2 linked regions of the Yarrowia lipolytica genome follow. The protein of the gene in region 1 purifies or fractionates together with the protein of each later gene. This does not show direct contact. Links are inferred from orthologs where the notes say so. Each region holds a gene or a part of one and is shown in the gene's direction. Other genes may lie near its edges.

Region 1 (8,588 bases):
CTGGCACCAGCTCTAACGATGGCTTCAGTTGACTTTTCCATCTTGTTCCCCTGTTCAAAGTAGTTTTTCTTATCAGTTTTCGCCTTTTCCTTGAGAAGTGGGACCCTTCGCTCCAGACCCTGATTCTCTTCAATGATATCGACAAACCTGTCTAATCATCGGGAAATTGAACATTCTAGAGCCCTAAGAAGTTCCTTGGATGTTTAGGATGGGTTTCAGAAGTTCCTTGGATGTTTATGATGGGTTTCAGAAGCTCCTGGGATGTTTATAATGGGTTTCAGAAGTTCCTTGGATGTTTATGATGGGTTCTAGGTCGTAGTCCGAGAATCTGCAGGAGTTCCTACCCGTTCTGCTCAGTGCACTCCACTTTTCGTACGTAGTAGAGACACCGGGACTTCGAAATACTCTTGGTCGGAGAGAGTTTAGCTCCATTGTCAGAATTTTCTTACGAAAATGGTCACTTGTTCCTCCAATTCTGCCCTGTCTAGGTCTCCGGGGACCAGTCTATCTTGTGGTGAAAAGAGAATGCAGCTTCTTACAGCTGAGAAGAGCTCAATTGGCCAAGAGGAGTTGAAAAACCAGAGAAACCAGGATGGAAAAAGTACTTTACAGTACTGTGGAAGTCACTTTTTGTCCCGGCTACTTTTCTATATCTCGTTGAACCGGAATACTACTGCATTGTCGACGTCTCTCATATCAGCCGCGATTTCGAGAAAAACTTATAAATCCCTCGAAATAAACCGTAGAAGGCGACGCAAGGCTCGTACAATGCGCGTTTTGAAACTATACATTGCTAAAGTCTTTACAATGGTCCTGTTTTGGTACTGTACTTGGTGAGGTTCTGGAGATTCATTCTCCGTTCAAGTTGAGAATGGTAAGTCTGAACAGCATTCCCAAGGATCCATTCACTAAAAAGTACTAATATATATCATATTGGAATGTTGGTAATACCAATGAATTCCCCCCGACTCGTGAATTACAAATACACCAATAACTATGGAATTACATTGATATCCACCTGTCATTGCCATATTGTGGGTGGACATAAACTCCCCTCCCCCCCAGTTGGCTTATTTGTTAAGCGTCCCAAGTATAGTCGATATACTGTTGGGAGTTTTCATCCTTCTTATTCACTTTTTAACTACAGTACAAATTTCTGTTAAGGAACTACTTATATTGAACACACAGTAGCACTTCAGAACTGCCCCTCATTCTCCCAAATCGACTCCAACATCAACCATCTTCTAAGTAATGAATTTTGCAATGAATCTCCGACTATCGGCTTCGCCCCCACTCTCGCCCCCACTCGCCCCCACTCTGCGCCCTTTGCCCTTAATCACCCCCTTCTGCAAGCCACAACTGAGTTCAAGAGCCGTCTATACCCAGACAAGAGCCGCGCGAGGAAGGGTTCAACCAGCTTTTCGGGCCGTAAAAACGGTCAATTGGGAAACCAAGCGTTTAAACCGTCTATTACTAACCCTACAACACCTTTTGCGCCGTCTTTCAGCCGCTCACAAGCCAATTGACCCCCGTTCCGTCCAACCCTAACCACACCACCCCACACCTTATCTTACATCTCCACCGCACTCTCTCTCTCTTCTTCACCAACTACTACAACCTCTGTAAACATGTCTCTCAAGCAGTCTCTGAAAGTCGCACTGATCCAGTTTGCCGCCGGAGCCGACAAGGCGGCTAACATTGCCAAGGTGACCACCAAGGTGGCGGAGGCGGCGAAAAACGGAGCCAAGCTGGTGGTCCTCCCCGAATGCTTCAACTCGCCCTACGCCGTGTCGGCCTTCCCCAAATACGCCGAGAAGATCCCGGATGGCGAAACCACCTCGGCTCTGTCGGATCTGGCCAAGAAACACAACCTATTCCTGGTAGGAGGCTCATACCCGGAGTCCGACGCTGGCAAGGTCTACAACACGTCGGTGGCCTTCTCTCCCTCCGGCGACATTATCAGCAAGCACCGAAAACTGCACCTGTTCGACATTGACGTGCCCGGAAAAATCACCTTCAAGGAAAGCGAGACCCTGACCGGTGGCGACAAAATCACCCTGTTCGATATGGAGGGCTACGGCAAGATCGGCCTGGGCATCTGCTACGATATCCGGTTCCCCGAGGTGGCGGCCACCGCCGCTCGAAAGGGCGCCTTTGCCATGATCTACCCCGGCGCTTTCAATACCACCACCGGCCCGCTGCACTGGCATCTGCTTGCCCGAGCCCGAGCCGTCGACAACCAGCTGTACGTCATTGCGTGCTCCCCCGCCCAGGACCTCAACTCGGGCTACCACGCCTTTGGCCACTCGCTTGTGTCCGATCCTCTGGGCAAGATTATTGCCGAGGCCGACGTCGACGAGACCGTGGTTTACGCTGAGCTTGAGCCTGAAGAGTTGGCGGCAGCTCGACAGAACATCCCTGTTGGTACTCAGCGACGGTTCGATGCCTACGATGATGTGAGCAAGACCGCCAAGGTGAGTGCTGTTTAACGGCGTTGCGAGTATCGACAGAATTAGCGGAGCCATGGTTGAACACAGCTCATGCTTATGAGCGACGCTGTGCAATTCAAACTAGCTGGAATTAAAATATACACTTGCTGCTATGTGATGAATGAATGAATCTGATGAGATGAGATGCTCCGGGACTACGTACGACTCTCTTGTAGTTGTGGACTACGTACGACTTCTCTTGTAGTTATGAAGACGCAAGAAGTCTGCTTTGATATAATTGATGTGCAATTAGGAGTGGTTTCTGAAGACAACTTCTGAACAATTAACGAGTTCACAAATCAGATACGAGTTCATGTCTTGGAAGAGGGCTTCTGATGTTGTACTACTGTTTGAATATAGTATGTACTACAGTTGAGTCATGACCCGTGCACTCGTGGAAGTTGACAATCGACTGTCTAGAATCAATCGACTGTCTGCGATACAAGATCTTCTCAACTAAAAATCCCGTGGCTTCAGTCACTCTTTCTGGTCATTGCCATGGATAGAGTGATTCTATATTCTATGTGCATTTTCGAGCTGAAATATGGCCATCATCAACTCTTCCTGGCACATTCCAAACAGACCGCGGATTGTCTCCATCAGTTTTCATCTTCTCGGAGTTTCTTGACTAGAATCTCTTAGTCTGAATATCGCTTTCTGAATCTGGTTTCAACCTGGATTCGTTGCCATAATCTGGAGTCGGTGCTATCAGCCCAGTAAGACTACACTTCAAGAAGCTGCCCAAGTGGACTCTGGGATTGTGGCTTTCTCTTGTTGGATTCCAGTATGGATCTCGTCCGTCTGACCCGACTATCGTCTGTCTGATCCAAGTATCGCTCGTCTGATCCGAGTATGGATCTCCTCTGTCAGGTTCAAGGACTCCAGCTTCTTCAGCGCTGCCCACACATGTTCTCAAGCATGTGTTTTGATAGACCAACTAGCTGTATCAGAGCCCGGGCTCCTCGTGTCAAGTTTCGTTGCTCGCCATATTGGAGAACTTGGAAGGCGCTCGCTACTTCGATATTCTGGTAACTATCTTGTGTTTTTCGACCTGAAATCAAATCACACAGGCTATTTGGAGTCAATTGAACTGGTTTGTGGCGACAATTGAGCAATATTACCACTATTAGCGGGCTCCCAAGATCCCATCGGTGCCTTCGGGGTTAGATGCCGACATACAGGCATATTTAGACCAACAGGGTTGCATTAGAATGTCTATAACGGGAGGTTGAGGGGTTATATAACGTCCCAATAGATTTTTGGAATCATTATGACTTCCCAGAAACTTCAAGACTTTGTATGAGTTGTTTATTAGGCGAGTTGAAGATATCAATATACTACTTAAGTTTAGTTAAGAAATTGAAAAAATCCGAATACGTACTTGTAAAAGTACTCTTTTTAGTAGTTTAATACATTAATAATCAGGTTAAAACTCTCTAAATCCACTCTATATACTTATTTAAGAAATTAATTGTAGTTTTATACAAAATAATATCATTCTAGATACATATTACTAGAAAACACTTTTGTTGCCTTTACTTGACTGACACATCTCAATTGAGTCTATTTACTGATGCTCAAGTAATTAATTCAAGTCCATGGACCCATATCAATACACATCAGAGACGTTCAAATCTGACCAGATAAAGTCTTATCTAGCACTACTCGCCGTCAAAAATCAAGCTGAAACTCCGGTATTCCTCCTTCGCCTCCTAATCTTCCCTAAAATGGGATGTTTTTTTATTCTTTTTTATGATTTTTTTATTCTAAATATGATTTAATTTTCTCCCTTCCTTCTCAAAAACTCCCCTATCGAACCTTGCCCCAACTTTCGGTTGTATAGTGTAGTGGTTATCACCTTGGATTCTGACGAAAGCTCAGCTAACTTCCAGTAACCCCGGTTCGAGTCCGGGTACGACCTATCTTTTTGTCGGCTTCTTTTTTGGCCCGTTCGAGAGCTCCAGGCGTCTTGTATGTCAATCATACATACTTGTTATAGGTTATGAGCTAAGACTATAGAGTGCCAACTAACACCCCATCTGAAAAACATGATCCTGTGAAGCTCAAGACGTGATTTTTGAAACCCAAGTTCTCCTTGCCGTTTGCTACCGTCTCCAATTTCAAAATTCCAAAAATGCCCACCCTATCGTGCCCTATACACCCCCTCCCTACCCCATAGTAAACACCAGTCTTACACACATATTTCAGAACTCCCAACCCCCGGGTAACCGCGGTGGGTAGTTATAAAGCAGAAAAAATCCACCCCTTGTCGTCATAACCACAGAGCCCATTGGTGAGTACCAACCGACACAAACAGGGAGAGCGCACAGCGCACAGCGCACAGCACACAGTCGCGCGCACAATGCTCTTCCTCTTGACATGATGATATCGAAAACCTTTCTTGAACTCCTGAGAGTGATTTCTTATAGACTACAACGGTATCTGATTTTTGTGATTCTGCCCTTGTTGCCTTTTTTTCCGCCTTACTAACCAAAGTCCGCCGTCGTTGAGCTCGCACAGCGCCAATTTGTGTAATGAAAAAACAAAACTTGAACGCGTTATACCCCCATCCATACCCGTATGTGGTGGATGTCGTGCCACCGGTGATACACAATCCCATCTCGGTGTTGTATTTTCTCTGTAGATGGATCTTTGCCGGCAATACAAGCCCAGAGTATACCGCCGAGTATGTTGATGGTGTAGTTCGGGCCGTTGGAGACGCTCGCGAGGGTCTGTGGAAGATGGGCTTCTTTGGCAAGGGCATCTTGTCTCGGTCCGAGCCCTCGTGGGACATTCGAACCAAGAGACGTCTGGGTCTCCATGTGGAGGAGGGGGTGTATGCCCCTGAAGAGGTGACTCAGTTCCGACGAGAGCAGCGGCAGCATTTCAAAGCCGAGCGAGCCAAGGCCGAGGAGGAGGAGCTCAAGAGACGCCAGGACATTGATCGGGGTCTGGCGGTGGCTGACAAGAATGAAGACGACAAGCCTGTTCGTCCGGAGTTTGATCGGGACGCGTTTCTCGCCAAGTCTTACGAAATGGAGAAACGAACGGAAGACGACGAGGTGGTGGATTCGCTGGGCAACCTCGTGGATATCGAGTTTCTACAGCTCATGGACGTGGAGGCGCTGTTTCTTCACATGGCGTTTGGACTCAAGGTCGGCGACATGGATGTGAAGGCCATGGTTGACGAGTTCACCCGCAAGGACCCTCGGTTTCTGACCTATTACGCCGTCTACCACCACTACCGATCGCTAGGTTGGTGCGTTCGGTCGGGCATCAAGTTTGGAGCCGACTTTCTGCTGTACAAGAAGGGTCCTCCGTTCACCCATGCCGAGTTCTGCATCAAGGTGATGCCTAAGGACGAGCCCATGCCCGACTTTTGGTGGCAGTCGAACCTGTGTCGAGTCATTGGCGGAGTCAAGAAGACCACTGTCTTTTGTTTTGTGGATGTGCCAAAGGTCGAGGGCGTTGTCGATGATGCCAAGCTGGTGGAGGTGTTGAAGCAGTTCAAGGTGCGAGAGGTGGTGTATAGGCGGTGGATTCCCTCGAGGAATCGGGACTAGCGGCGGTGGCGGGTGACAGAGTGAGATTTGAACGGATATGCCGGAACTCTCAGAATGTTCTTCACCAGAGACTTCACCAGAAACTTCACCAGAAACCTCACCAGAAACTTCACCAGAAACTTCACCAGAAACTTCACCAGAAACTTCACCAGAAACCTCACCAGAAACTTCACCAGAAACTTCACCAGCAACTTCACCAGCAACTTCACCAGCAACATTCTTCACCAGAAACTCCACCAGCAACATTCACACCAGAACCGTGCTTGTCCCCACCAGCAACAATGCCGTTGAACAGACCCAAGGTCTTGGTCACTGCCCATTGAATCTCGCAGGCGTGACGCCAATCAGCAAAGACCCACAAGCGCCACCAATTTCAAGTCTGTACTTTAGAAGATGGAGCCAGAGATCCTGAATTGGAATCCACGGAGATCGAACAAGTAACCATTAGTTTCAACCAGAAGCAACAGTTCCTTCGTCATATCATCTCTTTTCCTCCAGTATATCGTCACCGTTGACATATGTATGGACTTCTTCAGCTCAATAGTTCCTTATCCACGGAGATCTCTTACATCCACCCCTCTAGAACGGATTTATCGATCTCGATCTAGACTGTGGTTTACAGGCGAATATTTATTCATGTACATATCACTTGTTGGGGATGGTTTCAGGACATGTATTACGGCGTGTAGAGAATAGTTGGCATCGATTTGTGAGCTGAAGTCATAACTCCTGCTGTACATTTGTCAGTCCATATCAATGTAGGTGAAACGTCCAAGACATCGCAGTATCGTATTCATACTACCTCCTAGACTTACAATCGCTCCCACAATCTCTCTATAAATACATTCTATTCTATAATACACTAGAGCTCTCCTCGAAAGGCCTTGTTGACCCACGCACAATCTCTCTTGCCGTCCTCGGCCTTGGAGGAGGCGTCAGATCCGTCGTAGCCGTCGCCAGGCTTGGAGATGCACACGTAGCCGGACTTGTCGGGATACACGCACTTGATTTCCGACGCGGGGAACTGGCACGGGCACTCCAGTGGCGAGTTGACGCATGTGAGGGTATCGGGGCATACGTGGCCGTTATCACACGAGACTGGGTTAGTAGATGATGGATTGATTACCAAGCCGCCATGTCTGGGTTATGTTTGTACGGCCATCTGATAGGTAACCTGGCTCTTCCCAGCGGTCACTCCACTCTCACTCCATTCAGCTACTCACCCTTGTGATACTCCTGGTTGTGCCAGGACTCCTCGACGGCAAACTCCTTCTTGAGCATCTGGTTGAAAAAGTTGCCGAAAATCTGGGCGTGCGCGGCCGCCGCACATGTCAAAATCACTGTTGGTCGCATGTTGGAGTGTGGTACCGGGTGGTGGTGTAGAGACACGTCAGTATTTCACTACTTGTAGTGCATCTCGAACCCAATCACGGAGGAATTTAAGTTGATTTTTGGAGTATTTTTGGAATATTCCGATAAATGTCAAAAGGGCGAAAAAAACCGATTTTCGATATTCTCGACATCTAATTGACCATCCCACATCATCAGTTCTATCATCAAGGTCTTCTGTCTACCGTCGTTAACATCTATATTCAGTATACCTTTGTGGTGCCACTGTCAACGTCTATCCAGTATAAATATCGCTTGTTCGAACCAAGTTGTTCAACTAGTGCCGTAAAACTCCCTCCACAAAGGCATCACCATGGGTAGATTCTCCGCGCTCAGCCCCGGGTACCGCTCCCCAATCACCTTGACCAACTCATCGTACCACACCTTGTATCCAGGTCCGGCAAAATGCAGGCCGTCCTTGAGATACTTGGTCACTGAGGTTTCGTGCTCGTTACCCTCCCCTTCAACGGTGCTGGGAAACGGCATTCCGGGCTCCCATCCAGCGTCGGTAGCAAAAGCGTGCCACAGATTAGTGCTAGGAAGACCCATCTTGAGAGCCACCTCACAGGCGGCTTCGGAGTACCTCTTTTGCAGCTGTGACGACCGCGGGTTCACGCCCGGCTCGTCCTTGAACATTTCTCTTCGAGCCAGTTCGTCGTGGGGCGCGGGACCCGTGAGGATCACCTTGATACCGCGGTCCACCGCCTGCTGAGCCAGCTTCTCCAGATTGGCCTTGTATCGGTCGAGAGGAACATGTTGTTCGTTGGTGGCGCTGTCGTTGGACCCGAAGAAAATCACCACCAGCTTGATTCCCTTTTCATGCTCCAAAATGTGGTGGAAAAACTGGACCGCCTGGTCCGTGTTGTAGCCCGAGTATCCTCTGACGAGAATGTCCATTTTGCGCTGGTACAGATGTTGAAGGGCCGGGGCGAGTGCAAAGGTGAGATCCTGGTCGCTTGAGTACTGCGTAATTGAGTCTCCAAACAGGAGAATCTTGTCCATATCCGGATTCATGGGTGGAGTCATTATGGTTGGTTGAATGAGTGTGATGGAAAAGACATGATGCGCAATGGATGGGCACTAACTGCAGTACGAGTACGGTATCGTACAATGCTTGTGGGTGTATAATGGTAGGAAAATCAAGAGA
Region 2 (7,858 bases), on another chromosome or scaffold:
CAGCAGTACGGACAGCAGCAGTACGGACAGCAGCAGAACCAGCAGCAGTATGGTCAACAGCAGTATGGCCAGTTTGGACAGCAGCAGCCTCAGCAGCAACAGTACGGCGGAGGAGCACCCCAGCAATCGCTGATAGATTTGTAAGATGCTTTTTAAGGAGGCGAATATGCGAGACGATGATGATTCGATGCTTTTCTTTAGTGTAATGATTATGAAGTGGTTTCTTTAAGCAAGCCACTGCTAACGATATATGGGGTTTCTGTAGATATGCGTCGTTCTTGGGTACACGGTGCTTGCAGTACATACGCCTGTACATACATACAGTTCAAGTACAGTACTCATAGTTATAGTGATACAAATACGCTCAGATGGAGCAATTAGTGGTTTATTAAATGGAAATGCTAATAAATAGGAACGCCTACCAGTATGGCGACGTTTTTTTTTTGTCTGTAGTTTACAGTGTTAGTTGTTTGGTTGCTAGTTGCTGTTAGCTCTCCTCCCGCCTGATGATCACACTTCCAGCGTAGCTCTCATCACTGCTGCTATGAGTAGGGGCCACTCGAGGACTGACATCATAGTAGTCATCGGGACCGATAACTGAGCCAACAGGTGAGAAGCGAGAGATTCGAGACCCACGGGTGGAGCTTCGAGACAGCGGATGCTCAAAAAGACCAGTGTCATTCTGGGGATGATCGCCTCCGGTGAAAAAGTGATAGGGATGGTTGATGACTGGATGAGCAGCCTGGTTCATGGAACCTGCACGAACGTGGCTGTTTTGTTGTTGCAACACATGTTCAGCATCCGACCTGGCGTTAGAGCCTCGATGCACAGGTGACTCACTGTTGACGTTGCTCGACCAGGTAGTTAGCACAGCCAGGTCGTCTGACAGGAAGTTAGGAGCAACGGAGGCGTTGGATTTACTGCCGATAGCCGGTGGAGGAAGCAGATGATTGTGTGAGGTAAACTGCGTGCCTGCGACACTGCTGGGGTTGGCAGTGGTGTTTTTGTAGAGAACATCTTCCGGGGGGAAGTCGATGTTCTCCATCAGACGCAAGAGACGCTCGATAAATGTGCGAATCTCGGGGGCAGAAATGGGCTTGCCGGAAAATCGAAGTCTCTCGTAGAGCTCGACAAACTGTAATCCGACGTTTGCGTCCGAAATAACATGGCACGATATCAGATGAGAAATGTACTCTCTGAAGGGCATACCGACGGGTTTTCCAAACGAAAAGTGAATGTTTCTGGCGCGCGAATCAACCAGTAATGCCGTAGTGTCAACAACATCCTTATACGGAACGTCTGGAGGTATGTCTCCTGACGAGTCAGGAGGTGCCAGGCCGTCATGGGCCACCTTCTCTATTGGTCTCGTGTCTCGTAGGATTTGTTTGCATCTGTCCAAATCGTTTCTGATCTCCTTGGCAATATTTTTGGGCACGTCGTCTGGGCGAGGCACGTAGCGTCGCGGGATATCTGAGAGGTTTTGTCGGGTTCGAAACAGTCGTAGAAACGAAAGTAGTAATGCTAGAAAGATGAAGATGACACAACCAGCAATGACGATAGCGCCGTTCCAGAACTGGTTGGTTTGTCGCGACTGGGTGATAATGTCGATCGGAGATACGACCATAAAGCCGATAATGAAGACGATGAGCAGCACATGCGATAGCAGGTAGAGCCATTGTTTGAAGGATCGTTTGGCCCTCAGAGGTTCTGTGATCAGGGTTTTCGAGCTGTCTTCCGACGGTATCGACGCGGTGACCACCGTCTTGACCGTCGCGCCTCTCAGGGTCCCCGTCCCTTCGTCTTTTTCCATGTGTGGTGTTGTTGCGTTGAGCGACTGGTGATGTTCTTCCAGATGGTGTGCTTACGAAGGTTATAATCATGCACAGCCGCTGGCATGCATGGGTGAGGATGGAGGTTGGTCAGCATAATGACTAGACGACTTTTTTACCCCAACGGCACCATAAAATGGTCTTCTTTTGAGCGAGGAATAAAAATAGCTGACTCAGCCGTTTTGATTTCCCCTCTGTGCGTCTGGTTTTTTGCTACACGTGCCTCTTCACACGATCCAGGGTTACTGTAACACGAAGCTCGGTTTGTGCGTCGTCTTTTTTCCCAACAACGATGCTTTTTTTTTTTCTGCGCAGATTAAAATGCTGCAGCCAGGCAAGACAACGCGGGGCTACCAGTAGACACAACATGAAATAATGCTGCTCCCCCCGTTAATTAAAGTGAAACCGAGATAAAAATGGACCCGCTGTGTACGAATACACTCTTCTTGAATCCTTATATATATCCCCATATCCCCAATCACGCAAAGTATATCTCGCAAACGGTTGTTGTGATGGACAGTGAGTTTCAATTTGAGGTGGCAGAAAACGTGTGGATTTACAGGGCAGGAAAGAACGTTGTCGCCATGCTTACTCATCTGGGTGGCGTCATAACGGTAATTTGAGAGAAAAGGGTCCATAAATCCAACACAAAGCCTCCAATAATGCGCTCTATATAACCTCCGACCAAGTTCCAACCGCCCCAAACCCCAAACAATCTGTCTGGGAAACGGAACACATGCTTGGTAGACACAACTTTATACAACGGTTATGCATGCAGTCCAGGCACGAACCAGTATAACCCTTAGTTGTGTCAGTACATCGAACACAAACGACACATGTCTGAGTATAAGATATCGACTGTATATACATATGTATGTACGACCTGTATCTGTCTTGGCTTCGTGGACCTCGCTCCACCAAGTCTTCAAAAGTCGGCTTGATATGGTGCCCTCGTGTGGGGTTGAACCAACGGGATATATACGAAACAACCTGTATCTACGAGGGCTAAAGAAACGGGATTATTATTATGCTAACAAGGGGAGGTAAATTCTAAAGGAGGACCAACCATTTTTTATCGATTGTGAGAGTGTCAGAGACTGATTTAGTCGAGTCGTCGTCGCTGGTTCTGCAGCTTGATGTTCTCGTACTGCCGGCCATCCTTTCGCCGTCGCTGGTTCTTGAACTTGGGGATGGCCCGAGCTCCAGCAGTGATCTGTGTGAACAGGACATAGATACAGGCGAAAATGACGACAACAGAGGGGATGGTGATGATGGTGATCATCATGCCCTCCTCGTTCTTGTCCAAATCAAGTCGTCCCTTGTCCTTCTTCTGCACGATGGCACCTCGTCGGAATCGCACAAAAGTAGAGTTCTTCAGAAGATAGTCATCGGTGATCTCGTCGTCATCCATGTAGTCAGGCTGGATAGCAACGGCAACCTTCTGCTCGTACTCGCCATCGAGCCACTCCTCCTCAATCTCCATAGGGTAGACTCCCCAGGTGTTTGACACCCATTCGGTGATGTGGAAGACACTGCTGTCCTCAATTTCTCGCTTGTGCAGAGCCTTACCCTGAATGTATGCGCAGTGGAGTCGGACCTTCTCGGCGTCGGGGAATTCTCGGGTGTACCAGGTGAACCAGTGGACGTGATCAAGCATGACACCCTTTCCGTATTGAGGGGAGCACCAGGGGCCAACTCGCTGCTTCTTCACCTTGATAAACTTCTCGGGTGTGCATCGCTCAACAGGGTTGAAGGAGGCCTCGATGGGATCCTCCTCGTCCAACATCTCATTGTGGACCACGACATCAGTAGGGTGAGCGGTCTTGTAGCCAGCAGAACGAGCGTTCTCAGTCACGTCTCGGTTGACGTGGAACCAGTCTCCATACTCAGGAGGAGCATTCTTAGTCTTTCCTTTGACCACCTTGGGAGTGATGGTCTTGGCCTGACCGTCCTTCTTCAGCTTGATCCAAGGGTTGGGAACAGCACCCACCTGTCGCTGGCCTCGGAAAAGCGCGTCTCCCCAGACGGTGGGGGTGACATGCATGGGTTCACCTCCATCTGTGGGCTTCAGCAGCCACGGCTTGGTCACATGGGCCTTTGTGATTTTAGTTTTCTTGGAGAACACCTTGGGGGGTCGCTTAAAGGGGTCTGCTCGCTTCTCGAGGTCAGACACGTCTGTGGGCTCGGATCCGGGCAAATCTGTGATGGTCGAGTAGTCGATGGCTTCGGTGTTTACCACGGTAGCTGTTGGCAGCGCCAGAACGGCTCCGGCAAGAAGAAGTACCGAGAATTTCATTGTTGTGTACAGTAGTGTTACACGTGTGTTGAGGCTATGCGATGTAGCGTGCGAATGCGGGTTTGGGGGGCACTAGGGCAGATGCTGAGCTCAAATACTCTTGTTTTCAACGTGTTTTTAGGCGGTGGCGAAAATGGTCGTGACTTCACAGGTGTGTTAGGAAGACTGTTGGAGGGTGATGTGTGTTTTTAAACCTGATGCGTGATTTAGCTCAAAAAATGAGATACATGAAGTATAAGCAGAATGTTTGTACGGCTGGGAGGAGAAACGGGTGAAAAGTCGGGCGTTTGGAGGCGTAAAACGTGCGTTCGAGCAGCAAAAATGTTCATAACAGTGAATCAACATATTAAACGCCCTCAAACGGTCAATAAGCATTATATTCACGGACTTACCGCCGCCTCGCTTTCGCCAGTCGTATCTCAGTGTTACGTTTCCCGGACTTGTAGAGTTCTGAGCCTAATCCAGGTTTTTGGTGGCACCCAAGTCTTCTCCCAAACACGAGTATTTTCCAGCATATGCAGATTTTCCTAGGACCGTTAAAAATTAAATCCGACGGAGATAACGCGCCCGCAGAAACTTTGAGACGCACAGTAAGCAGAAAAAGTTAGTGGTAGACGACTGGCACAGATACTGAACAAAACAACCACTATCAATCACACATTCACCATGGCTGAACAAATAAGAACCAACCTTGTTCATCAGCATCTGTGGAGCGACGTGGTCATCCACCAGACTAAGCTCACAGACCTGGTGCATGGAACTCCACCCAGGACTTTGCACCCTGATGACGCTGAGATCAGATCGGAATGGCTAGTACCTGCCAGATCCAACGACGACTGGACTATCAAGCAGTGGGACGAGTGTTTTCGCGAGGCTGAGGGTGTGGCTGGAAAAGACGTCGATCGCATGCTAATGGCCATCGTGGACAATGACTCCACCATCGTCTACTACTTCGTCTACAAGGGTCTGGTCAAGCCTCGAAAGAACTAGATTCACAACTATTATACACCCTGTTCCGTTATGATCCCGGTCCAGGCATTATCACCTTGCATTATAAATATATGTACATTACATGAAACAATATGGTCTGGGGCATAGTAATGTAGCACCCAGTCAGCCAGAAGACCTGTAGCTCGCGGCTTAAATAGGTCTTGACTGTAACATCAACTTCCATCTTTGTCACTCCAAAAACACCATGGATTCGTCAATCACAGGGCTCAGTTTCACATTGCCACTGTTAACCCAACGTCTAACAGATTTCTTCAAAACCCGTCCTCCCAGTTGTACCTTCTTGGCTTTTTCGTCGCTGTAGAGAACTACAGCATGCATTTCTTTGAGTGCTCGCATCACATCTTCCGGCTGGATATAAGTATGTTCGCTGATCGTCTCAATCGTGATGACGTCTTCTGTACACTCTATCAAGATGAACCGGGCTATCGTAGTACACCAGTAAGACATATATGATAAAGTGCCGAACTTCGACAGCGGTCGCTCTGGACTTCCTTTACGGCCTTCGTACTTCGACAGCACGTATGAAAACTCGATCAGCAGTTTGCCCAGCCCTCGCCTTTGATACGGAGGAAATACCAGAATGCAAGCCAGATTGTTTTCGTCCCACGACAGTTTCTCCTTGGAGAAGAAGCCCATGGGTTTAAAGTGCCTGCTGCTGGCGGTATCCTTGCCGAGCACAACATAAAATTCAAAGGCATCGGCGCCGAAGAACACAGACTTGTGGTCCAGGAAGAGCTTCGCGAACAGACAGAGATTCTGGCAGTAGAGCTTGTGAACGGCGCCATCAACACGGCGAATGGCATAGTCTTTCGATTTGTAAACCGTCTCTCCGGGGTGCTTGAACACATACTTGCAGGTGCTTCGGTGTTGGGCCATGTCCTTGGAGACCTTCGAGTATTTGAAACACGAGTCGCAGACAAACAGCTGTTTGACCTGGAAGTCGACCTGGGCTGGTGGTTGGTCATTGGGGGCCACAGATGCGTTTGCTGATGATCCAGAGGACGAAATGGTTGAGGATGTTAATGCAGAAGAGGTTCCTCCAGGTGTGCCAACAGACGGAGAGCTGTAGCGCTCAATGAAGAGCCGGGACATGTCGCAGGTGTGATTGTCCTTGTCCTTGTCGAGGGCCTTGGCCTCCATCAACGCCATGGCCCGCTTCCAGGTCAACTTCTTGAGTTCGTCCTTCTGTGAAAAATAGTATGCCGACGAGTGGTACCACGTGTCGAATTCACGAGGGCCAAAGACCACCCGTCCAATGTTTCGTGGAGGCTCTTCTTCCTCCTCATCGTCCAAGGGGTCGTCGTGCATTAGTGTTGGCATGCCAGGAGAAGATGTTGTCTATGTTGAAGGACTTCGTTTCTCGTCACCACAGAACAGTCATGCACGCTTCAACGTCGCGCTTAAAGACCCATGAGGCGGATGTGTAATAGATTACTTGTAGAGCAATTACTAACGAGAATGGTGTATAACATACTAGGGCTCAGTGTGCACACTATGTAACCATCATTTAATATAAATGTGTCTCTTTTAATTACACCTTTCATTTTTCTACTGAGACCACCTCACTTGCGGCTCGTACTATTTTCGCCCCTCAAAAATCGATGCCAATTTTTGGGAACCAAAATTTTATTGTTTATAATTATGTGAACTGCAGTTTGGTTTATAACTGAGACTCTCAAAGAAAAACATATATTACGTGAACATTTACTTCAAGTTATTATAGAAAAAGAACCTGTCTCCTCCCAACAGCCACATCACATGACCGCGCATACATCATGCACAATCAGAAAAAATTGGGCAATATAGCATAACCTGCGTGAAGCTGATTCAACCCATCGCTTCAACTATGGCGAAATACAAGCTAGGATACAACGCAAAGGCCCGAGCCGGCTCGCTGAAGAAGCAGCAGGAGCTCAAGGCCGCCAAGCAGAAAACCTGGGTCAAGAAGCCTACAGCAGAGGAGGAGGAAGAAGACGCCAATGCCGAGCTCATGGTGCCCAAGAGTGAGGCCGAGAAGGAGGCTCGAAAGAGAAAGCTCCAGGAAGAGCTCACACCTACGGAGAGCAAGATGACTTCAAAGAAGCGAAAGCGTCTAGACAAGTACATTGTGAGTATGACACGAGGATACGTCGCAGGTTTAGCTTAACCAGATTAGCTGAACCAGATTAGCTGAACCAAGGACATTCGCTGCGCTTATGATTACATACTAACTCAGGAAAAACAACTCAAGAGAGAAGAGAAGAAGGCATTGTTTTCCGAGTTTGCTGCTCGAAAGGGCACCTTTGATACATCTCAGCTCAAGTCTATGAAACACATGGGTGACAAGGAAACCAAAAAAGCCCGGATCGAGGAAGCTTTGCGTCTGGAGAAACTGGGTCTCGGTAATGAGGAGACCAAGGAGATTCTGTACGAGAAACACGATCACGAAGAGTGGGATGACGAGAAGCATTCTCATCTCCTGACTGAGCTGGAGCGAAAGGAGAAGCAAATGGCCGAAGAGGAAGAGCAGGAGAACAAAAGCTCATTCATTGACATGCGACCCAAGGCTGGTGGTGGTTTCGGTTTCCAGAACCTGGCCAAGGTTTCCAAGCCCGCAAAAAACTCTTACTCTTGGCGAAAGAAGCTCGAGATTGAGCGTGCTCGAAAGAACAAGAAGGACTACGTTAGCTCCGGGGAGGACGACGATACCGATTCTGATGAGGAGGATTCTGACGAAGATTCA

What was found. Proteins that work in one complex are often made in the same cells at the same time.
Region 2: the proteins of YALI1_B09333g (region 1) and YALI1_D35126g purify together in Saccharomyces cerevisiae (affinity purification with western blotting; 3 studies listed by BioGRID, with this or other methods). This does not show direct contact. The link is inferred for Yarrowia lipolytica from reciprocal best matches to the Saccharomyces cerevisiae genes SEN2 and SEN15.

What each region holds. Positions count from the first base shown.
Region 1 is NC_090771.1:929,834-938,421, reverse strand, and holds YALI1_B09333g (uncharacterized protein), read left to right. Parts: upstream 1-5,023; coding exon 5,024-6,052; downstream 6,053-8,588. Other genes in the region: YALI1_B09367g (uncharacterized protein), read left to right, coding at 1,629-2,489; YALI1_B09320g (uncharacterized protein), read left to right, coding at 6,107-6,338, 6,401-6,567; YALI1_B09316g (uncharacterized protein), read left to right, coding at 6,575-6,725, 6,773-6,861; YALI1_B09310g (uncharacterized protein), read right to left, coding at 6,915-7,150, 7,276-7,405; YALI1_B09299g (uncharacterized protein), read right to left, coding at 7,715-8,467. UniProt on the Saccharomyces cerevisiae protein: Constitutes one of the two catalytic subunit of the tRNA-splicing endonuclease complex, a complex responsible for identification and cleavage of the splice sites in pre-tRNA. It cleaves pre-tRNA at the 5'- and 3'-splice sites to release the intron.
Region 2 is NC_090773.1:3,507,748-3,515,605, forward strand, and holds YALI1_D35126g (uncharacterized protein), read left to right. Parts: upstream 1-4,791; coding exon 4,792-5,115; downstream 5,116-7,858. Other genes in the region: YALI1_D35061g (uncharacterized protein), read left to right, coding at 1-144; YALI1_D35096g (uncharacterized protein), read right to left, coding at 488-1,810; YALI1_D35119g (uncharacterized protein), read right to left, coding at 2,932-4,125; YALI1_D35143g (uncharacterized protein), read right to left, coding at 5,305-6,456; YALI1_D35148g (uncharacterized protein), read left to right, coding at 6,983-7,243, 7,352-7,858.